Linked DNA regions of Notamacropus eugenii. The protein of the gene in region 2 binds, or shares a complex with, the protein of the main gene of each other region. Links are inferred from orthologs where the notes say so. Each region holds a gene or a part of one and is shown on either strand. Other genes may lie near its edges.

Region 1 (7,967 bases), on a different chromosome or scaffold from region 2:
TAAACATCAAATTAAGACTTAAAACAGAAAATATCACAAAGTCAAACTTCACCTACTTGCAGGCATAACTATTAACAATAACATGCATTTTAATTATTTCACTGCAGGAATATTAGTTCATGACATAGGTATTTAATAAATATTTGCTGAATTGAAAAACAAAAAAATATAATAACTACTTATCTACCTCTGGAGTATCTATATCTTGCACAGGTGAATCACCTCCATCATCATCACTGCCTTTCCTCTTTCTTCTGTTTCGAACACTCTGAATTAAGTTTTTGTGAAAGTCACAAATATAGAGGTGTCTTGCCTGGGGGGAAAACAGACATCATCAAAAAAAACCCAAGTCTCCAACAGAGCTCATTATTACATAATTAAACTAAAATCTAGATTCTAATCTGGAAGTACCATATGCTATAATGAATTATTAAGGATAAAGTTATAAGAAAAGTAACTTATAAGTTGGACGTCTTCATTTCTATCATATTCCTTTTCCCCCCAGAATCCTTCATGTGAAATCACCGCGATTCATCTGATACAAAGGAAAGAGCACTTTACCTTGTTGTGTTGTGACTAGTCTATTTCAGAAATGGTATGCTGCTGAAGAGAGACAATAGAAGTTTTTTCTAGGCCTTTATTTTCTGGCATCAAAATGCTATGGGAGGGCAATGAGTCTAGGGCTGTCTCTCTCAAATATAAGAAAGGCTCTTTTTACTGTAAAGCTCTTTTGAGTAGCACACTGCTTTCTCTAGAGAGGATCTTTTTAAGTACAACATGTTCTCTATTTTTCCCCTTCTTTCTTCCAAACACAACTTCCAACTTATAATCAGGGTATCATAAATACTTAGTAGATAGCAACTTTTTTAAAAAAGTTAACTACTAATTCCAGTTTCTTTATTCATAATTCAGATCCTAATAAACTGGATTATCACCGAGTCTACATTTCTGTTTCCAATGGAATCTACCCTCCCAATAGTTTCAAGATAACTTTCCATGACTCAAGAAAATGAAACTCGTAGAAACAAATACAAGTTAACTTTTAAACAAACTAATTTACTTATAACCTTTTCGATTGTAACACTATTTAAAACTGTATGTTGACATTAGAATCAAATTATTTCATATCACTTCCCGTCCTATACTTTAGGTTCCCAAACTGGACTGCTAGTTAGTCCTTGAGCTGGAAAAGCCTTCTTTGTGCACTGCTGGCCTGGCCTGTTCCTGTTTCAGTTCCTGGAATGCAGGCTCTTCTACCACTCAGCCAATCAAAATTCCTTCAAGGTTTAGCTCAGGTGCCTCCTCCGAGAAGCATTCCCAGATCCTTCAGCTACGAGTCTTTTTCTCCCTCCTCACATTCTCTTTCGGTACTTCAGAGATCTCCTTTGGCCCCAACACATTCTATCAACTTTTTATTATATTACTTTTAAAAATAAACCCAGTCAACGTAAGCTCCTCGAGGGGATGTCATCATTCATTTTTTCTTTCCCCAAGCCTCAAACGCACGGCGTCTTATTAAATACTAGTCAGTTACCAGATGTGAGTTGATTTCTTGCACTTTTTCAACAAATACACATAGTCTAAAGGGCGATCCTTTGTCTTACGTGAAGGACTTGCTCGACAGACCCTTACGAACGGATTTTTAAGCTCAGAGGAAGTTAAGATTCAGGAAAGAGCGTGCTTATTTTTAAGGAAGGAGGAGGCTTGTTTTTGGCTGGCCTTTGAAAGAGCTAACAGTTGTTTCACCTTCCTCCAGGCAGACAAACTAAACGGATCAAACCAGCTTCTAAAAACCTCGGACACGATCACGGGGGCAGCCCCGGAGGTCTGCCAACAAGAACGTGAAATGGCAAAGACCTACGAGCAACACACCCACGAGGCAATGCCCAGGTCCCTGTCCACCAGCCCCCACAGACAGTGGGAGGAGCTCAGGCTTCTCTCCGTGTCGTGTGTGTCGTGTGTGTATACACGAGTGTGTCCGGGGAAGAGAGTGGAGGCAGCCCCCCGCCCCGCTCCCCCACCGCCGACTCCATGGCTGTCCCGGACCAGGCGGGCGGCTTCAAACACAGCACCGAGGGACAACCACGAGCCGGGCCAATCTCCACGTCCCAGCTCGGGCAGCCTAACAAAGGAGCCTCCCTGCCAGGCTGGGCCACGGGGCGGCGAGGAAAACAACTCTTCCCCTGCTCGCTTCCCCCGCTTTGTTTCGCTTCCCAATCGTGCCCCAAAAGACGCCGAGGGGGAAGAAGGAAGGGAAGAGGAGGGGGAGAAGTGGGCGCAAAGGAAGACTGAGGGGTGACGGGGGGATGAGAGAAGTTAGGGGTGGGGGGAAGGGAGGAGGGGAAGGAGGAGGTGGGAAAAGTTCGTAGAGGTGGACGGGGTGGAAGGGCACGGGGGCCAAAGATAAAGGTGAATGGGGGAATGGGAGAAGGAGGTGAACGCGATGGAAGAAGACAGGAGAGGGTGGATGGGGAAAGAGGGGGCTCCCGATGCCGCCGCAGGAGTTGCGGTGACTTGGCTAACGCCGCTCCCGCAAGTCCGCCCGCAGGCGCCGGGGCCCCAGGGTCACTCACCGTCTTGTCCAGGTCGATCTTGACCTTCTTCTGGGAGATGCTCTTCTGGATCCTCTTGCTGAAGCTGGCGTTGCCGGCCGCCCGGCTGCACCTCTCCCCGTCCTCCCGCAGGCAGCACAGCTGCCCGGGGCCCGGGCCCGCCGCTCCAGGGGGACCCGCCGCAGCCGCCGCCGGCCCGGAGCCCGGCACCTCCGCCCCGCTCGCGGCCCCCGCCCCGGCCCCGGCGCCCGCCCCGGACGAGGCGGCGGCGGCGGCAGCGGCGGCAGCGGCGACCACCACGGCGGCCACGGCGGCGGCCGCGTCCCCTCCCCGGCTCACCTCGTCCGGGGGGAAGCCGTTCATGGTGGCCTCCCCTCCGAGGCGGCGGCGGCGGCCGGGGGAGCCCCCTTCTCGCCTCCGCTCACGCACCCCTCCGAGCCGCGGCGAACCCGGAGCCGGACCGGACGGCGGGAGAGCGAGGGGGAGGCAGCAGCCTGCGCTCCGGCCTCGGTCCCCGCTCCGCTCCCCGGCCCCCGAGGCACCTGCGCTGGGCGGACGGAGCGGTCCCGCTCCGGCCCGGGCCCCAGCGGCAACTCACTCCGCACTGGCCGACGACCACCCCGACAATCCTCTGCGCCCGGCCCGGCGTTTGCTCTTCGTCCCGGGCCGGCAGGCTCCGTGTCCCGGCTCGGGAAGGGGCGTCCGGCTCCAACCGCGCTCACTCTGTCATGTGGAGACTCTTCAGCTGTTAGGCTGCTCCCCCTTCCCTCCTCCGCCTCTCCACAGCCCGCGGCTAGTGCGCAGGCGCGACACTCCTCCGCTCCGCCGGCCCCTCCCTGCCTCTTCCTAACACAAACACTCTCCTCTCCAACCCCTCCCACCTCAGAGAATGAAGCATTATGGGCAATGTAGTCCGTTCCGGCTCTCTTTCCACCTCCCTCGACCCCATACTTTATTTCTTCTCGGCTTTGGCTCGCCCGGGCGGATGAAGAACTACTAAGACCGAAGTGCACTGCGCAGGTACATGCTGGCAGGCCTGGCTCTTTCTCAGCTCTCTCCTGGCTGCCTGGGAAAAGTGGAAGTGCAGGGTCGGCTTCTCCGGATTAGACTTTCCCACTTTGGGGTGATCGCTGGGAGGCAGGCTGCCCGAGGTGCCCCGCTGGGCACTCGCTTCGCTCCCCGTATGCCAAGTGTGTGCATTGGGAAAGGAGGCAGGGGGCGTGGAGAAGGTGGGGAAAGGGTCCCGGGGCCTCTCACGCACCGAGCTACCCTTGGCTCAGTGTAAAGCCCCGCAGACCGGAGCGCCCTTCCCGGGACCTCCTGCCGCTGAGTCCAGGTATCCTGCCCAGTGGACAGTGCCCCAAGTCTCTCCCCGGATCTCCAGCCCCCGCATTTCCAACGGCTTGTTGGGAGCTAGGGAAACGGGGACTCTTGCCCACAGCCAGGTGGGTTTCCTGGTGAGAGTCGCAACCCGAACCCGGCTGGGTTTCGCGCCCCCCTTCCCCATCCTCTCCCAGTCAGTTGACGAGGCGGGGGCGGGGGTAAGCTTTATATAACCTTTGCATTATCCGAGCACACTAAGCCTGCCAGTTTTGTCCACCTCTTTCCTTGGGCGGAGCTAACAACTTGTCCGGAAAACAAAGAGGCGGAGAGAGTCTTGGTTACCAAATCAAGAGAGGGCAGGGGGCGTGGACATGCACCAGCCCGTTTATCCTTTTAAAGGCTCCAGCTACACGAACGCGGCTCGGCAGAAAGTTTGAAAGTCTTTGTGACCGTCCTGTTTTCTTTGGCCTTGTCCCCCACCCTCCCCACCCCCACCTCGCTGCTCAGGCTTAAAGAGAGGGGGTCAGATGGAAGTTCCGTCTTTGCTGGCGTGCAGAACATGTTAATAACGGAGTGAGGATTGCCGGCTCCGTCTGGACTGGGCTGTAGGCCTTTTTCTCTTTGCCCACTCACTTCCTTGCCATCCTCAGACGAGCTGAACCAGTCACACACCCTGACTGCGAAGGGAGCGCTCAAATCTCTTCATTTTTGGTTAGATGCGTTCAGTTCTTTCCACCTCTAAAACTTTTCCTCAGAGGTGCGAGAGTCCGGGAGATCCAGCTGCTTGCTGGACATCCCGACCTGGGAGCACTGGAAACCCTAGCCTATATCGAACTTAAACCGAACGCCTCTTCCCCAGGAGGTTGGGTGGGTGGTTGATTGGTTTCAGGAGTTCTTCACCTGGGGCCAGGGACTCTTAAAAATTTTTCATAACTGTGCCTTTGTAATCCTATATATTTTAGCTTACACATGTTTTAAAAAAATTTGAGCATACGTAGGCTTCAACAGACAGACAGGGGTCCAAAACACAAAAAAAGGTAAGAATCTCTGGTAGTTGAATATCTTCCCCCAAACGTGTCTCTCTCCTTGTCTTCTCTATTTCTGTTGATGTCACCACCATCCCTCTCCCCCAATCCCATGAAATAACACTTTCCCTCTCCAGCACTTGTTATGTATCCTTTCTTGCTTTTGTTTGTGTGTGTCATATTCCCTCTTGTTTAGTCGTTTTCGTCTGTATTCTACTGTTCACGACCCCTCGAGATTTTCTTAGCAAAGATACTGAAGTGGTTTGCCATTTCCTTTTCCAGCTCATTTTACACATGAGGAAAATGAGACAAACAGGTTAAGTGACTTCTTCAGATCTGAATTCAGGTCTTCCTGACTTCTATCTCCGGTGCTGCCTAGCTGCCCTGTCATATTCCCTACTGAATTATGAGGCAGGGACCTTGTCTATCCTGTCTAATCCAAATCTCAACCATATTTCACTGGAGCTGGGTGAGTCCACAATGGACACTTAATAAATGTGTTTAAGTAAATCAAATCCTCACCCAACTCATGTCACTTTTCTAACTTCTCTATTTCTGTTGATGACACCAACATCTAGTCATCTGGGTAGTTGTCTGTGACACCCCTCTCCCTGACCCACGCTTAGCCCCTATCCAGTCAACCAGTAAGTCCAAATAATTCTGTCTTTTAAGTATCACTTTTATCTTCACACACATTCCTCACCAGCCTTTTCACTCCCCCTACAATCATCTTGTTTTAGGTCCTATATCTTCTCTCTTCCACTACTATACCAAGAAAGCTACATTTCTTGCCTCCAGCCTATTTCCTCCTCCACATGTCTTCTATATTTTACTGCTCTTACCCTCTATCTGCCTCAGTTTCCAAAACTATAAGATGGAGATAATAATAGCACCTATCTTGCAGTGTTGTTTTGAGGCTGTAATGAGATATTTGTAAAGCACTTAGCACCATGCCTGAAACATTGTAAGTGCTTAATAAATGTGTATTTACCTAATCCCATTTTGATTTTTTTTTCCTGCTTGATTTCTCTATATAGAAAGTTTTTTCTCCCGTACGGCATGAAGATTATGAGTATTTGTTATTGCAGCAACTATTATGAACATCATTCTTAAGTTAAAAAAAAACTGCATGACTGCTCTATAAATATTAAAAAATCTTTGATGCCTTTTCATTGCGTATTGAATAAAATATAAAAAATACTTCTCCTAGTATTCAAGAACCTCCACAATCTAGTGTCAGCATACCTTTCTAGCTTCTTCTTCAACCATTCCCCTCACATAGTGAATATTCCAACTAAACATGACATATGGAAATTGGTTGAAGAAACTGGGGATGTTTAGCTTGGAGAAGAGAAGACTTGGAGGGTAGCTGTCCAGTGTCGGAAGGGATAGCATGTGGAAGAGAGGTAGTATTGGGATCCTTGGTCCCAGAGGGCAGAAAAGAACAATGCAGTAGTTAAAGTCCTTGGTGTGAAGTTTCCAGTGAGTATCTCTGTGCCTAGCACATAGTAGGTACTTAAGAAATGATTACCGGTTGACTGACTGGAGTCAGAAGACAGGAGTAGAAGTGATGACCATTTGTTAAATGCCAACTATGTTCCAGGCACTTTGCTAAGCACTTTATACATATCTTACTTGATCCTCACAACATCCCAGGGAAATAGGTATTTTGTATTTGAGAAAACTGAGGCAGACAGATTATATGGTTACATGAGTTGCCAGAGTTATAACTAGTAAGTGTATGAGGTCAGATTTGAACTCAGGTAAATCTTCCTGATTGCTCCATGTCCAGCACTCTCTCCATGGTACCACCTAGCTGATAGTGTTCATGCATAGAACACATATGGTCAAGGTAAGCATGTAGAAGGATGCATGTAACCAACACATGTAGTGAAGACACATACTTGGAAGGTCACTAATACTCTGATGCCGCACAGTTTCCATTTCCTTTTGGAGATGTCAGTTCAACCTGCCCTTTACCTGGTCTGCTCTCTGCTTTATATGCTTAACATGGTTCCTGCTAGTCTTTGCCAGGTACAGCCCCACTGAGCCTGAGATTATGGAGATTCTCTTTACTAACAGCTTTTGGCTTAATTGGGAATGCTTATCTCTTCTTCAAGAGAGGAGCAAAACTCTTTCTCCCAAGAAGAGCGCCTTTAGCCATTGCTCCTTTAGCTTAAAGCGCAGAGGCTTCTCTGCCATAGATCTTTAGAATAGGCATAAACCCTAAAATATCCACTCACTGATGAGTAAAAAGTCCTTTTGGTCTGCTTGTTTCTCAGAAGCAAGAATGAATATTTCCTTTCCTAAAGGAGATTCCTCACTCCAAACATCAAGCATTGTAAAACACAGATAACAACATAGTAATAACTAGAATTAGAACTTACATAGTTTTTACTGTGTGCACTTTGTTAAGTGCTATACAAATATTATTTCATTTGATGCTCACAACAACCCATGAGAAAGATGCTATTATGGTCCAAATTTCACAGAGGAAAAAACTAACTTTAAAGAAGTTAAGTGACTTGCCCAAGACTATATAGCTAGTAAATATCTAATTTGAACTCAGTTCTTTCTGACTTCAGGTCCAGTAGTTTACCCACTGTACCACCTAAAATGCCAACTTCATTGACCAATGCCCCCAAGTTTAATTCATTTTTTTCTTCTCTCTTTCCTGATTACCAAAGACTACGTCTCTCTCAGAGGCCTCACTCTGACTTAGGGTCAGAATGTCCATGCACTTCCTAGTCAGCTATTTTTCCAATAAACTGCGAACTGTTATCCATATTTGTAAGATTCCAATTCTCAAATACAAAACTACTTTGTAGCAAAGTCCACATTGCAATGGATCAGCTTCCCTAGTAGAAATTCTATGTCCTTCAAGGAATCATTCCAATTGAGAACCAGTTACTTGTCTGTCATCAAAGGTGTTCCCTGCTGTGAACTCCTCAGGACTCTGGAGAAAGAGAACTTCAAGATCTGTTATACTACCTACAAATATGCTTCACTGCCATTATGTTTTTAAGTTTATTACTGTTCTCTTACTCTACTCCCTGGACTCTATGTA
Region 2 (8,013 bases):
GGGGCTTGAGCATATATTCTTTTATAGGTCTCAGTACCCTTAAATGCTGTTCCAGTGGTTTTAAGAGAGAGAAAGCAATGTAGCGAAATGGAAAAGCCACTGAGTGGGAGGGTCCAGGCTCCATAATACCTAGTGCTACATCCCCAACATCATCACTAGCATTTATTTGGGGCCAGAATGTTTGCAAAGTGCTTTACAAATATTATTCCATATGATCTTCACAACCCTAAAATCTCCTTACTACAGGTGAGGAAACTGAGGCAAAGATTCTCAGTGCCTTGTCCAGGGTCACCCAGCTAGTAAGTGTCCGAAGCTGGATTTGAACTTGGGGATTTCTGACTCCCAGTCCAGTGCTCTGTACCCTTCAGCCCCTAGCAGTCACCATCACATCCTCCCTCTGATTTCCAATCTCCTCAACAGTAAAATGAGGGGACCAGACTGGATGATAAACCCCAAGATCCAGGGGACAGGATAACATTATGTTGATTACATGAGTTGACATTTTTGTAGCATTTTGTTCTGTAGCTTTACATCCTGTTATCTTCTGATCCTCATAATGAGCCTGCGTACTGCCATCTCCATGTTATAGATGAGGAAACTAAGGCTCCTCCAAGTGAAGTATCAAGCATGGGGTTTGAACCCAGGGCTCCCTTGACCCCAAACCCCAAACTCTTTCTACTCCTCCTTGTAGGGTGGAACACATCGGCGCGACTACCAAGTCCAAATTCAACTGTAAATAAACCCCTATTTCCACCAGCCTGTCCTTCCCCCAAACCCCTCAGAGAGGTTTTGTGGCTTAACCCTGACATTCACTGACTGGTAAGACTCACGCCGCCTCCTCTAGCACCACCTTGTGGAGCTCATCCCATACTAACATGCCATCTGTCCCTGCGGGCCTGACCCCACACATCGTGCCACATGCTTGGGATGTTCTTCCTTCCCTGCCCCTCAGCCTGACAAAGCCCTACCCAGCCCCTTCCTCCAGGAAGCCTTCCCAGAGTCCTCCTCAGGAACACTGCTCCTTTGTTCTTCCCCTTGGACACACTCAGCAAGAGTGACTGCGAATGCTGGTTTTCTGGGTGCGTATGTCTCGTCCTCCCTTCCTAGACAGGCAGGAAGGCAAAGGGCCACATCTTTGCTCAGTGTCCCATCTTCCCCAGTTCTATGCATGACAGGCACTAAAGGACTGCTACATAATCACAACTCATAATGATCCTGGAAGGTTACACAATAGTTGCCTAAATGAATGATTTCTTTTCACCGGTCACAAAAAAATCTTAGTTTTAGCGATTGCAAGAGAGCAAACAACAGGCTGGAGTCACTTGGGAAAAATAAATGGGGGCAGGAGTAAAAGTAACCATCTGTATCTTTCCATATCTATATTGTATCCAAGGTATGGGAGGGAATACTAAATGCTTCTCAGCAAACCCAGGAATTACACCCTAACCTACGCTAACCTATCTGTCCAAGAAAAACTTTAGTTTGACAAATCATGGTACTGGGGGAGTCACAAAACCCGGGCACCAATTCTGCTCTTGTCACTTACTAGCTGTCTCTTTCGGTCTCTTTCTTCCACTTTAAAATTGAAAGAATAAATCAGCCCTTTGGGGGTGATAAGCAGCCCCAAAATTAAACCAGAGAGATGGGGTAACAGTAGAGTGGATAGCACACTGAACTTGGAGTCAAGAAGAACTGAGTTCAAATTCTGCTTCACTGTTTCTAGGTGAAGGCCTTGGACACCTCATTTAACCTGTTTCCTCATCCATAGAACTGGAATAGAAGCACCTACCTTCTAGGGGTTGATGGTGAGGACTGGTGGAGAACATTATGTAAAATGATTTGCAAACCCTGAAGCTTATATACATGTCAACTGCTATTCAAGGTGTAAATACTAGGCTTCCTGTCCCTGCTTTTCCAGCATCAGAAACCACTTTTTTTTCCCCACAGTACTTAGGAGTCCACATCCATTCGGTAGGACCCTCACCCTGCTATCTATTACTGTTCTCTGTTTTTTTGCACCCCACTAGTTGGGGGACTCCCTGAGTCTCCCGTCTCCATTCAGATTTACTGAAAGGAAAATTCTCCAGCAGGAAAAGAGGTCGGTTGAGAAGAGGATTGGGCGACAGGGTGGTGTCTTATCTGCATGACGCAGGGAGCATTTACTATGGACTGGATGTGCAAGACCTCGTGCTAGGCACTGAAGAGATGACAACAACCCTCACCCCCAAGGGGCTCACATTTGTTGGTGGGATATACCCGGTAAATGCAGATTGGTCTAAAGAAAGGTGCCTCACTAACAAGGTGGCTCCCAATAGGTGATGGCACCCTGTTTCTGTCACCTACTTACTCTCTGTGTGACCTTCAAAAAGCCACAAAAACCTCTCTGGGCCTCAGTTTCCTCCTCTGTAAAATGAGGTGGTTGGATGAAATGACCTCTAAGGGGCTTTCCAGCTCCAAGTCTATGATCCTATGAGGAAGGATACTCACCAGAAGAGCCAAGCCAAGGCTCTTGGGGGGGGGTCAGTTTTAGGCACCCTTGGGAGGGGGCTCAGAAAGCAGACAAGCCGACCATCAGGGGCTTTCCTCCAGTGTGCTGGGTGCCAATTTCAGACACAAATTCAATTTCTTTGCCCTGCTCAACAGCTTTTCCCTCTGGTCCTGAAAGTGGGTGGCGGAAGGAAGGGGAGGGGAGGGTCAAGATTAGGAAGGGGCAGCTGGGGGGATAGTCAACTGGGGTTTTGGAGGCTTTGTCACTGGGAAGGGTAAGAGAAGCAGAAGCGGGTTTTGCAGAAGGAGAGACTTAATTGAGGAAGAATTGTAATTGGGACTAGAGATGGAATTTTTGCTTGGGGAGGGAGGGTGACCTGGGTGGGGAAAAGGGTTATTTGCTAGGAAAGGTTAAATGGGAGTGACTGAGGTGGAAAGATGGGGATTTCCTGGAGGGGAACCTCCAGGAGAAAAGATTTTTGCTCAAAATGAGGGATCTGAGGTAGGGGAAGAGGGCGATTGCAAGGGGTGGAGATCAGAGCAAGAAAGGGATTTTGCTGAGAGGCTGGGGTCCTGAGAGTGGTTGCTACGCGGGAGGACTGGGTGAGAATGCTTGGCTTGAGAGTGCGCCAACGGGGAGGATTCAAGGGAGAGCGAGGGGGGAGGGTAAGTGGGCAGGGCCTGCGGGGGGCAGCATCTGCTACGAGGGCCCGCTGGGGCCCGACAGGTGCCAGGGGGGGTTGCTACACCAGAGCGGTCTGGCGGGGGGGACATTTGCTAAATGGCGGGCAGAGACAAGTGGGCATTTGCTAGGAAGGGGTGTTAAATGGAGGGGGTGGGGTACGGAAAAGGGGCATTTGTGGGGAGGGGATGCTCGGCAGGGGGCCGCAGGGGTGCTCCGAGGGTGGGGGAGGGGATGCTTGTTTCGGGGAGGGGGCTGGAGGGGAGGAAGGGCTTTTTGCTGGGAGGGGGTGCTCCGAGGGGGCAGGCGGGGGCGGGGCGCTGATTGCAAGGCCTGGGGGTGCAGGTGCGGGGGTAGGGCCTCCTGAGGGAGGGGGGCCAGCCTGAGAAGGTTGGGGGGGAGGGGGCGGGTCTGAGGAGGTCTGGGGGGGGAGAAGTCGGGGGAGAGGGAAGGGGGGAGGGGGCGGGGGCGGGGGCAGGAGCAGCAGCAGCAACCGGGTTTTACCCGCCCCCGGGGGCTCGCGCGCCCGCCTCGCGCTTCGTGCCTGGCGCTCGCCCGCCTGCCTCTCTCTCCCTCCAAGCTGCGCGCGCACACACCCCCCCCCCCTCGCTCCCTCCCTCCCTCCCTCCCTCCCTCCCCGGCCCGGCCCGCCCGGGCCAGGCGCGCGCTACGTGAAGGCGAGCGTGCTGCGCGGCGCGCGCGCGAGTGCGTCGCCTCCAGGCGTCGGCCTCTGCCTCCTAGGCCGCACGCACGCACGCCTCGCCCACTCTTCACATTCGGTTTCTACCCGGATTCCCGCGCGCAGCAGGGGGTGGGCGGAGTTTCGTGGGGGTGGAGCCTGGGCGGGGAAAAGGAGGAGTTTGAACTTCGCCTGGGGCGGGGCGATCACGTGACGGGCGCCCGCTGCCGCCCTCTCGCGTGCCGGAGGGGCGAGGCTGAGAGTAATGACTCACGTGACATGTCGCCGGCAGGCGGGGGTAGCTATGGGGGTGGTCACGTGAACTGGCCCACTGCCTTCCCCAGTAAGGCAAAGCAGAGAAGGAGGGGGGGAAGGGAAAATTACGGGACGAGGCAGGGCCGCCTGCCTAGGCGGAGGAAAGGGAAAGCTCGCTGGTCACGTGACAGGCCCATGCCTCCCACCTGCTGGGGTGGGGGCGGGGCAACGGGCGGGCGGAGAAACCGTTGGGCGCCATTTTGTGGGGGCTCCGGGGACGAGGGGCGCGGCCTAGAGCAGAAGCCCCCTGAGGGACTGGGCCTTGGAGAGGAGGGGGCGGGAAGACTTTGAAGTCTTTCGGTGGAAGACGTGGGGCCTCCGCTGCTTCCGCCAGCATGGCAGCCGGGCCTCAGTTTCCCCATCTGTCAAGTGAGAAGGGTGGCCTCCTATTAACCAACACTGACCGAGCCCCTGCCAAGCGCCCAGCCCCTTGTGCCTACCGCCCAGTGGGGAGTGGGCAGACCTGCGGCGCGGGCCCACATGAGGGCCCCTAGGGCCTCGAGTGCTGCCCTTTGACCGAACCCAAACTTCACACAACAAACCCCCCAATGAAAGGATTTGTTCTGTACGAGGGGCTCAGTCCTCGCCGCACGCGAGGACCTAGAAGGCCCCAGGCGGCCTCGAGGACGCAGGTTCCCTCCTCGCCGGGGAGGGGGGCTGGCGCTGAAGATGGTGGGATCCCCAATTCCCGCTAGGCTCCTGCAAGATTGCCATTTTAACCTGGGCAGTGGGGGGGTGGCATGGTTAGAGGGGGGGTTCAGAGCCCCGGGGAGCTAGGCCCGGTACGTGCTGCGGGGCATTCGTGTGCCCACCTCCCCCTAGCACCCCTCGGATAAAACCCTTGCCTCCCACCTGGGTCGTGTCGCCGCTGTAGCCCCGGGGTCACCTCGGCGTGCCACGGGAGGGTTGGGGGCCAACCCGGGCAGGGCAAGGCCGCGTCCAGCCCCGTTTGTACTGAGGCCGCTGTTGCCCGGCCTCCATCCCAAACTCGGCCCTTCCCATTCTCCTGCCCCAGGACGAAGAACAAGTTCAGCGAAACAACCCAAAACATCCTCCAGCCGGGTCACGGAGGGTGGGCAGTGCCCTCCGGCTTCTGCAGACGGGCAGGAAGGGGCAAAGCGCGTTGGAGAGGGCATGGAGCAGGTCGCCTGGAGAAGGATGACGTAAGGAAAAAGGTGGGATGATTTCCCGGCTGGGATCTCTCAGGTAACATCTTCCTGCTTTCCAGAGAGCGCTTCTTTTATTTTGCTGTGTCTTGGATTTATGTGTCTGTTTTATCTCCTGTGCTAACGTGGAAGCTGGAGGGGCAGGAGAGGAGCTGTCTCATCCATCTGTATCTCCCCTGCTGTGCCTCGTGTGGCAGGCTCTGGGAATGAATGAATGAGTCAGGGGGGGGGCTGACAGAAAGAACGAGAGCCCTCCCTATTAACTGAGAGATCTTGGCTACACCCCCGCCCTGAGAAGCTGGCAAGATGTTCCTTGTGGAGCCCGACCTCTCAAAGAAGAAGAGGGTCCTCCTTGCCCACTGTTCAGCCAGAAATAGATGTTTAGTGGTGAAGATGAAGAGAAAATGGAAACATAGGTATTAAGCCAACTCCCGTGTCTTCCCAAGACTGAACGAGGAAGATCAACCCTGTCGTTTTGTCTTGCATTCAACGGGCAGATGCTTTGGAGTTATCAGGTGATAGGGCGCTCTGGTCTCTGTCTTTAACCTACCTCCACCAAGGTCCTGTACTGCTAAATTAGGAATATAAAAAATGAAGTCAGTCTCTACCCTGGCAAAGTTTACAGTCTTTCTGGCTAGGGAGATAAGGCATTCATTGGTTTAACATTTACAGGATGTCTAATGGGTGCAAGAGTGCGGGGCTAGGTTGGGGATATAAAGATGAAATAAGACAGAGGCCCAACCCTCAGCCTAATTAGGGAGATAAGACAATACATAAATACTTGACAAATATTTGTTAAGTGCCTTCTATGGGTCAGGCATTGTGCTAGTCAATCTGAAAGTTACAAAGATAACTAAGAAATGATCACTTAGACTCAGAAGTCTGGGAAGGAGATAAAACAATCTACAAAGAACCATAATATGCCACAAGAAAGGTAAAGACCATTTCCAGGAAGAATTCAGGGGAGAAAGAGCTCACTTCACAGTGTTATAGAGGAGGGAGCATTTGAGCTGGGACATGAAGGATGGGAAGTGTTTGAATAGGGGAAAAGGAGGAAGGCGTGTACATAGGAAAAGATAACTGTCTATAGTTGTGTGGCTGTCAGAGGAGGGGGAGCAGAGACAGTGGAGAAATGCAGATGATGAGAGAAGAAACAATAGAAATAAAGATAAAAAAAAAATAGTGTAATTAAGTGCCGAAGGAGTGTTATAAACTCTTAGATGCTATAAGAACTCAGGGTGGGGAGGGCTCAATCATTGTGAGCTATCGCAATCCAAGAAGGCTTCCTAAAGAAGGGCTTCTTGACTTGGATTGGAAGAGTAGGTCTGATTTAGATGGACATCCCCAAGCCTCCTTGCACGTTGGCCCCAAGCCGAGCAGATTGTACATACTGGAAGGACTAGGGCTCTATTGGCCATCCCCCATTACATGTATTTTGTGTGTGTGTGTGTGTGTGCGTGTGCGTGCATGTGTGTGTGTGTGAGTATATGACACTGGCTCATTTCTAGAAATAGACCAGCTTCATCATACCCTTCACGGGTCTAGGGGTTTCTTGAGGGGTTGGAGGGTGTTTCTTCTCTACTGTCATCGACTCAAACCTTCACTAGTTGTGTTGTCACCCCTACTGTTAGGAATCAGTTCCATTTAACCACTTGATATTAATTAGTTTTTTTACACAGGGGTATTTCCTTCAAAGGGACTATAACAAAAATACAAACAATTCCCCCAATACCTCAAGGGAACATACTCTCCTTATCCCACCTTGGTCATTAGGGAGGATAGGTTCAAACATAGTTCAGTTGCTATGTAGCATTGGTCCCACTGAGTTCACATTCAAAGGCAGCGTAATTTCTGGATGAGTCCTTGTCTGAGGTGTCCCCAATCTGAGTCTCAAATGTCACTCCTTGGGGCATCAATGCTGAGGTGGCCACAAAATACAGATGCTTGCCTGGCCACATGCTTGTTCTCCTGACTTTTAGAAAACCAAGGACAGAGCCTCTAATCCATTCAACTAGAATGAAAAAGAAAACAGAGATCAAGAACCAAGACCCATCACAGGACCACATTTCAACCTTGTTTGAGAGGGCCCAAAACTTCTCCCCTTTACTGCATTGTCTATTATCAGATACCATTAGCAAAGGATTCCAAGAGATCTACCACGATGGAATCTTTAGAGAAAATGGCCAAGCCTTTGCTTACTTGTCCTTCTAGGAGACCCCCATTGCCCATCCAAGAGCCTCCTATACACCACGAGATTGGCAGACCTGAACCAGCTACAGAATGTCTCTGCACACTCTACCATCTCTCCAGAGCATTTCTGTTATACATTATCACAGTTCTGGCAGCCCCCTAGTCTCTTTCACAGGAGGAGACATCTTCAAAGGCACTCTACACATGTGCTAATCCCCTTATGTATACATGCATGTAGACAAATATTTGCAAACATGTAACAAATATACATTTGTAAATATAACAAATATGTAATATATAAATATATAACAAATATTTATTTGTAAAGAAAACTAAACGATACAAGGTGGCACTAGTGTCTAAGTGCCAAATGAAATATGTAGTTAGTGCTATGGAAATTGAAAAGAAAGATAATTCTAGGTGGGCCTCAGTCAGGGTTAGGAGTTGGGAAGACTTCACAGAAGAAATAGGCCTTAAGTCTGGCCTTGAAGGAG
Region 3 (8,052 bases), on a different chromosome or scaffold from region 2:
AAGACACAGACTTCAGATTTGAGGTAAGGCAGAATTTCCCAACAGCTATCAAAAATGAAGATAGTTATCTTGAAGGGAGGGGGTTCTTCTTTGATGGAGATCTTAAGCAAAAGTTATGGAGTAAATGCTCTCTCAGAGACAGACTGGACAAGGAAGGCTGAGTACCCAGTTCCCCTCAATTCTGAGATTTAGTAACCTCTAAAAATCTGAGACTTTAATGCTAAGTCCTACATCATACGAGAGGTGTACAACAGCAATGGAATTCATTACCACAAAAAGCCTTGCAGGTAGACAGAAGAAATAAAGGGCTTATACAAGTGAATCAATGACAGAGCCATAAATAGCTGTGGGGTATACTTCAAAGAATCTAAGAGTTGAAAGGGATCTCTGATTGCATCTAATATAAACTGTTCCTCAAAAAGAATCTTCACTATGACAGACCAAGTGGTTGCCCAAGACTCCTCCTGAAGATGTCCAGTGACACAGATCTCACTACCTATTTTCTAGGGGAGTCCATTTCACTGCTGGATAGCTCTAATTATTATGAACTTTTTCTTTATACTTAGCCCAAATCTGCTTTTGCAGTTTCTACCTGATCTAAGTTCTGCCATCTAGGGCTAATCAGCACATCTAATTCCTCCTCTAATTCCTCTTAAATTCAGTTCTTTCAATGATCCCAGATAGTTACCTATCTATCCATCCCTCCCTCCATCTGTGAAGCTACTTCAGAAAATTTCCCTTCTTCAAGCTAAAAATCTGTAGGCTCTTCAAACTATCTTTTATGGCAGAGTTCTCAAGCCCTTTGGAGAAGGAAATGGCAAAGTACTCCTGTATCTCTGCCCAAAACAACCCCAAATGGAGTCACAGAGAGTTAGGCATGACTGAAATGAACAACAATAATTACTCCAGGCCTTTTACCACACTGATTGTCCTCATTTGGATGTGTTCCAATTTGTTGATATCTTTCCTTAAATGGGACTCACCTAGATCTGAATCGGGCATGGGACATCACCTTTATTTCTGCTATCCTTTAAGGTTGAAATCGGAGAAGACAACCAAACCTTCCCATGGGACATTCCTGAGGGCTATCAGCAACAGAATAGTAGGACAGATGGACTGCAAGTCTGACCCAGTGTGAGAATATTTATATCCTCACCAGATGTTTTCTGATGATTATTTACTGGAAATGTTGGTTGAGAAGATTTTCTGACATATATGAGTTGGATTAGGTGGATTTTAGGGTCCCAGGAGGACTCAGATTCTGATGTAGAAGATTAGATCCAAGCAAACAGGGTGCGTCTGTTAGTATTTCCCTGCCCATTTTTCCTCCAACATCACTTACCTTCATGTACTTGTTGAAGACTGTCTGAATTTCCTCATTGATGCTAGGTTGTAGGACAGCTCGAAGTAGGTCCATAGAGATGGCAGGGTCTGTGAAGCTGCATTTCAAAAAGGGGAAAAATGTCACACTAGTTACAAATGCTTTATTCATCTTTGTCCTGCCAGGGGCAATGACTCTTGTCATAGCTTGTCTTATATTAAATAATCCTTAAATAAATACCTGACCTTAAAGATGAAGGACTTCTAACATGGTCAATCAAAAAATCAATCAATAAACATTTAGAGTTCCTATTACATTTACAGTATTATAAATTTAAGAGACAGTCCTTGCTCTGAAAGAGATTATAATCTAGTTTGGGAGATATAAAATAGGCATAGCCTAGGGTTTATATCTAACTATCAACTCTGGGATCTGTCTTGGGAGGGAGCTGATCCTGGAATATAAATAAACTAGGCTTTACAGACTACAGACTTTTGGCTCTGATTTCTTCCAGACCCAAATACACACGTGAAGTTCTGAAGACTGGTCAATGATCACCACAAATGCTTGGCAGAATCTAGAAGATTTATGTTAAGGTGAAGGATTTTGACGCGGGGAAGATCATGATCGACTTGTTTAATTCACTAGCTGGCCATTAACTAACCCCTGATGATCTTACAATCTTCCATTTTTTGGGAACATTGTGGGGAAAAAACATGTTAAGAGTAGAAAATGCCCTTAGAACCCATCTAAGTCATCTCATGCTCCTAGAATCATCCTTAATTTACAGAGGGAGAAATAGAAGTCTAGGTAAGGTCTAGGTCTGACTTGCCTAATGTCAGAGGTCTAGAACTGGAATGTACCCAAGAAACTAACTGGTCCAAATACTTATACTTTCATCTTGCAGAGAAAAAACTGAGGTCCAGAGAAGACAAACTTTTGGAAATCACCTAGAGAAAAAAACCCTCTCATTTTACATCTTTATAAACGGAGGCACTTTGTTTTCTAGATCTTCTCATTCTACATCAGTGCCCTTTCTTTCACGGCACACAGGGAGCTGGGTCCGCCCTCCTGACCTTCTTCAGTGGTCCATTTCCAGCCTCCAACAAGGAAGACTCCCCGTTTCCTCCCTCCCCCGCCCCCCCAGCAGTGAGGGCTCCGGGGCAGCTGGTGCTGGTGCCACCGCAGCGTCCCCGGGTCCAGCGGGCTCACCTCGTAGTCATCTGGGAGCGGCGGCCCCTGCGCTGCACCTGCCGGTGTTTGATCATGATGTTCCAGGGGTTCTGCGGGAACCAAGGCGCTGGTGAGCCCCCTGCGCCCCCGATCTCGGACGACGGAGGAGGGGTTGGGGCTGGGCAAGGGGCCCTTCTCAGGCCTAGCCCCCCGCTCCAGCCCAGCTCCCTGCCCCGACAGGCCTCGACCCGGCCCGACCCGAGGGGCCCGTGCCCACCTTCCCCGAAGCCCCTCTCTCACCGTGACCACCAGTTGCCCCGCCGAGCCCTCGTCTCCAGGCTCGGGCCCGCCCCGCTCCGCTCCACTGGGGCCTCGCGGCTGCTCTGAATCCCGAGTGGCCCCCATGCTCCCTCCCTCCTGCACCCGGCCAGGCCGCCGCCGCCACCCCAGCCGCTGTCGCCGCTGCAGCCGGGGGTCCGGCCCAGCCCCTTAGCCACCGGCCGGAAACGAGCCCGTCACACGTCATTGCGCCGCGCCGCCCCGCCCCCCGGAAGAGCGACGCGGCAGGCGGCGAGGTTGCCATGGGAACCGAGCGGCGCGTGCGTCCGGGAGCTGGAGAAAAGGGGAAGAGGGAGAGCAGAGGCTGTTGGGGTCCAGGGCGGCTTAGGGTGGGCGTCGGCCGGGGCTTCTGCGGAGGGTGTGGCTGATGGGACCCCCCCACCCCCACCCCCGAGCCTGCGGGTTTAACTACGAGGGGGGGGGGGGGCCGGGCGGTTGGTAGTTTGAAAACTGAGTTTCCCTAAATGCCCCTGCGCCCGCGGCCGCGGAGAGAAGCGTCCCTGCAGGATCTTGGGCGAGTCTCCTTCCTTCTCTGGTCCTCTTCGTCCTCGTCTGTAAAATGAACCTGGCTAGTTGGGGTGGGTTTTAAGATTCCTTCCGTCTCTGATATTCTTGAGTTCCTGGGGTCCAGGACTTGGGAGGCAGGACACCTGGGTTCTAGGCTGACCTCCACCCACTGTGGGCACGTCCTCTCCCTTGTCTGCCCGTCTCGGTTAGAGTCGCTGTCCATGAGGTGGGATCTCGGAAATGCCTTCCAGCACCGAGGGTCTAAGGTAAATCAGCCTTGGGGCTGAACACCTCGACCTCTTATCGGAGTGATTCACCCTTAGTAGGAGCTGAAGCCTGAAGAGTAAGTCACGCCTTTTGGGCGGGAAGGAGAATCCCTCTGGCCTAGATACCAGTGATTTGGGGGCCTGGCTGGGAATGTGGACCGGACCAGCCCTTAAATACCCAAGTGAGGCATTTCAAGAGCTTGAAGACAAATCCTACAGACTCATGGATGGGTTTACAGCACAGAAAAGATTTCACTTTTCACAGAAGGTATGGCACTTTCAGGAATTGCCTCTAAAGCCAACACTGGTTTTTGCTGTTGCAGGAGAAAGATTCCTTCAGGCCTTGGATTTTACGGTAGTTTTCACTTGAAGTTCTGAGTTCCCTTCTTCTGTTAGGATTCTTTCAACAACCTAGTAAGCCCTGAATGCCACCGGCAAGGCTGCAGAATGACTATGGGTGTCAGGGGTGATCAGGCAAGCACCTGACTTGAGATCCAGTTTGTATCCTGGCCTTGGCTTTGCCATTAGCATCTAGGTATATGTCTCTCAGGGTTTTAGTTTTCTTCTTAGTAAAATGAGGAATTTGGACTAGGTAATCTCTGAAGTCCCTTCTAGTATTGCTATTTTATGGCTTACGTTCTAAGATTCCTTATGGTTCTGAAATTTTATGGTTCTTGCAGTGACTGACTAAACTAAGGCATGGGCAGGATAGAGAGGAAGTAAGAAAGGAGAAAAAAGGGGAAACAAAGAGGGAGATGTTACAGAGTGCTACTAGCAGTTATTGGCACCCATAGTATTGATGTGGTTTGGGGTAGCTGGGAACCCTTAAATGTCAGGGTACAGAGTGAGTCTGCCTGGAAAGAATTCAAGCACTCAAGCCTTTTTTCAGTCAGAGGAGCAAGGTTTATCCTAACACCAATAGAGAGTTAACACCCATAGAGTACACTAGATTCTTAAAGAATCTGCAGCTTGATAGGGGGTGAGATTGATACTTAAATATAAAAAAAGACCAAAGATTCTGATGGGATTAAGGTATGGCCTGGGGTGGGCCAGGGACAACAGTGAAATGGTCTAGATGAGATTAAGGAGGAGTAAATAGCCTGAGATGGCGGCAGTGAACTGAATTAAGTGGTCTGGGGTGGGTCACAGAGCCACAGTGAAAGGACTATTGAGATCTAGGTGGGCAGGACTGGGCCAGATGCCTCTGGCAAGATGCCAGGGGCTGGGTTGTGTGGGAAAATTCAGGGTCTAGGTCCCATCACACCATCAGTATTGTTTGTTTTTAGTCAGTTTTTACTCTTCAGTGACCCCTTTTGGGGTTTTCTTGGCAGAGATACTAGAATGTTTTGCCTACTCCTTCTTTAAGCACATTTTACAGATGAGGAAACTGAACCAACCAGGGTTAAGTGACTTGCCCAAGGTCACACAGCTAGTAAGTGTCTGAGGTAAAATTTGAACTCAGGTCTTCCTGACTCCAGTGTTCTGCACACTGGACCACTTAACTACCCCTACTCATAGTGTGGATCCACCAATTTCTTCATTTGTTCATTTGTGGTTGAGCTTAGAGAGATAAAGACGATGCTTGTCATTTTTTAGCCATTGACTGTGGACAACATTAATGCTTTCTATAGCTTTTTAGGAGCCTCCAAATTGTAACTTTGCTCTTTGTTTTTAGGGTTCTCAAGTTGACTAAATCCTGATGTATTTGATTTGCTTTTGGATGCAACTTCATTAGAGTGGGTCTCTGCATCTTTCTAACTATTTCTTTTTTAGTATCTTTGCTTCCTTCTCTGGACAGAATGAGAAGCTTGAAGGGGTGCTAGGTTTAGGACACAATGAGTTTGCTTTAGCCACAGCCCCATTGCTAGAGTGTACTGTTTCTTTAAACAGACTTGTAGGCTTGCTTCTCTTTGACTCTTTCTTCAGTCATCCATAGCGCCCTCACCAGCTGTCCATTGTAACACTTGGAAAATGTGTTAGGCTTTGAGGCTGAACATACTGTTACCTGTTATTCTCCCCACGTCTGTTCTTTGTAAATACAGTTTCCTATCAGGTCAGAAACCAATCCATTTTTTTTTTTTCCAATCAGGAAATTTCCCTGGCAGTGCATTGTATAAAGAAGGTTCTGGGGCTGAGTTCTGGGAAGTTCCTAGGTTCTGGCCTCTCCCTGAGCTGTTTTTTTGGGGAAACTTTAAAGCTGTGGTCCATGCTGCGCCCCCACCCTTATCCTCAGGCAGCCTCTGCCCCATCATGGTGCTTTTCATCTTTGGTACTGCGGTGTACCAAGTAATTGGGGGTGAGTGCTCAAGCACTTTGTTGCCTCCTTTTGACTACGACCAGTTTTCATCCTCTTAATTTTTTTTTTTAAGTATTGGTTTTCTTTCCCATCTCCTGCTCTCTTATCTCTCAGTCGAACAATTTAAAAAAAAGAAAACAAAAACGCCCCCAAAATATGCATAGTTCAGCAAAACAAATTCTCACGTTGTCCAAGTCCAAAAATGTACGTCTCTTTTTGCATTTTAAGTCCATTTTCTCTCTGGTGGGAGGTGGGGCCATGTTTTATCTTCAGTCTTTTGAACTTTTGCCTTAACATTGCGTTGCTCAGAGTTTTAAAGTCTTTCCAAATCCTTTTTTAAAAAATGTTGTATAAATTGTTCTAGTTCTGCCTACCTCACTCATCAATTTATAGAGACCTCAGTTATTTCCGAAGCTGTCCATTTTGTCATTTTTGTGGCACAATAAATATTAATTTTCTTCATATACCTTAATTTGTTAAGCCACTCTCCAATAAGTGGATACCCACTTAGACCCTAATTTTGGAATATTATCAAAGAGCTTCTATAAATATTTTTATACATGTAAATCCTTTTCCTCTGTCTTTTTTATTTTTTTTTAAATTTTTTTTTCAGAATAGACCTAGTAATCCATGGCTGGGTTATAGGGTTTAACAGTTTAGTGTCTTTTTTTGTGCATGCTTTCAAATTGATTTCTAAAATAGCTGAACCAATTCACAGATTCCCCAAGAGCTCATTAGTGTGCCTATTTTCCCAGAGCCCTTTGAACATTTGTCATTTTCTTTTTTTAATCATCTTTGCCAATCTGCTGAGTCTGAGGTGGACCCTCTTGAGTTGCTTGAATTTGCATTTCTTTAATCTTTAGTGACTTGGAGAATTTTTTTCATATGGTTATTGATAGATTGGATTTCTTCCATGGAAAACTGCTTTGTTCCTATTTTTTTGGCTATTTATTGAAAAATGGCTCTAGTCTCATAATTTTGAAGTAGTTCCTTCTGTATTTTGGATAGGGCACAACACAAATATACTGAAAAGATTTTTCCCCCCAGTTACCTATTTCTCTTCTTATTTCATCTTTTTATACAAAACCTATAAAATGTTACATAATGAAAATTATTCATTTTTTCTTGTGACCTTCCCTCTTTGTTTGATCATGAACTCTTCTCTCCATATATTTGAAAGATAATTTCTTCTTTGCTCTTTTAATATGTTTGAAATATTCCCTTTTATGTATGTCATGTACCCATTCAGAATTTATCTTGGTCTATACCTAATTTCTGCCAAACTGCTTTCCAGTTTTTGCATCAATTTTTGTTAGATATTGAGATTTTTATCCCAATAACTGTGGGAAACAAGGAAGTTCTGTTTCCACAGTTTGGGGTGATCAGGGTTGTGACCTAGCATGGTCAGGTAGAGGTCAGAAACTTGTGCACAGGCTTGATGAGCTGTTTGAGGGAAAGCCTAGCAGAGAAGAGAACATGAAGTCAAGTGGCAAGGGACAGGTGGTGATAGGTCCAAAAATTCGGAACAGTATAAGAAGCTTCCATTGATCTGAACAAGTTGAATTCTTCCTATAGCCTTACTGGGAAGCTATCCGTTCGTAATGAACATAGAAGGCACTCCCTCCTCTGAACTCTATTTTAATAAATTTTTCTTGATACCTTTTTGTGTGTCAAGTGCATCTCTAATAGTAACTAATGTCTTCGAGTTTATCAAATACTGTGCCCTTTTATTTTTTTGCTTCTCTGTGTTATATATCTAATCTATTCCGCCGATCTACCTCTGTGTTTTTTAACCACTACCAAATCATTTAAATGATTGCTACCTTATGGTGTAGTATGAGATCAGGTATTGATAGGCCCCCTTTCCTCCCACTTTTTTTCATTATTTCCCTTGAGATTCTTATTTGTATCCTAGAAAGAGATTGGAAATATCCCTTTCCCTATCACTGCATTTAGTTTATGCTATGTTGGAATTAATAGTTTTTTTGAATACTATTCATTGTAAATCCATCTGGTCTTGGATTCTTTTTCTTTGATATTTCATTTTTGGCTTGTTAATTTCCCATCTTTTTCCTCATTGTACATTTTCTTAATTATTTTTTTTGTGCTGTTTACTTCATGCAAGTTATAATTGTTGACATGCTATGGGT

What was found. Proteins that work in one complex are often made in the same cells at the same time.
Region 1: ZNF541 (region 2) and SAP30 share a complex: the UniProt entries of both Homo sapiens proteins name them as parts of the histone deacetylase complex. The link is inferred for Notamacropus eugenii from reciprocal best matches to the Homo sapiens genes ZNF541 and SAP30.
Region 3: ZNF541 (region 2) and DNTTIP1 share a complex: the UniProt entries of both Homo sapiens proteins name them as parts of the histone deacetylase complex. The link is inferred for Notamacropus eugenii from reciprocal best matches to the Homo sapiens genes ZNF541 and DNTTIP1.

The regions. Positions count from the first base shown.
Region 1 is NC_092878.1:87,835,592-87,843,558, reverse strand, and holds the start of SAP30 (histone deacetylase complex subunit SAP30), read right to left. Parts: upstream 3,044-7,967; 5' UTR 2,916-3,043; coding exon 2,574-2,915; intron 314-2,573; coding exon 188-313; intron 1-187. UniProt on the Homo sapiens protein: Involved in the functional recruitment of the Sin3-histone deacetylase complex (HDAC) to a specific subset of N-CoR corepressor complexes. Capable of transcription repression by N-CoR.
Region 2 is NC_092876.1:29,482,778-29,490,790, forward strand, and holds the start of ZNF541 (zinc finger protein 541), read right to left. Parts: upstream 3,073-8,013; 5' UTR 2,488-3,072; intron 1-2,487. UniProt on the Homo sapiens protein: Transcription regulator which is essential for male fertility and for the completion of meiotic prophase in spermatocytes.
Region 3 is NC_092872.1:475,368,780-475,376,831, reverse strand, and holds the start of DNTTIP1 (deoxynucleotidyltransferase terminal-interacting protein 1), read right to left. Parts: upstream 3,044-8,052; 5' UTR 2,900-3,043; coding exon 2,795-2,899; intron 2,605-2,794; coding exon 2,534-2,604; intron 1,440-2,533; coding exon 1,343-1,439; intron 1-1,342. UniProt on the Homo sapiens protein: Increases DNTT terminal deoxynucleotidyltransferase activity (in vitro). Also acts as a transcriptional regulator, binding to the consensus sequence 5'-GNTGCATG-3' following an AT-tract.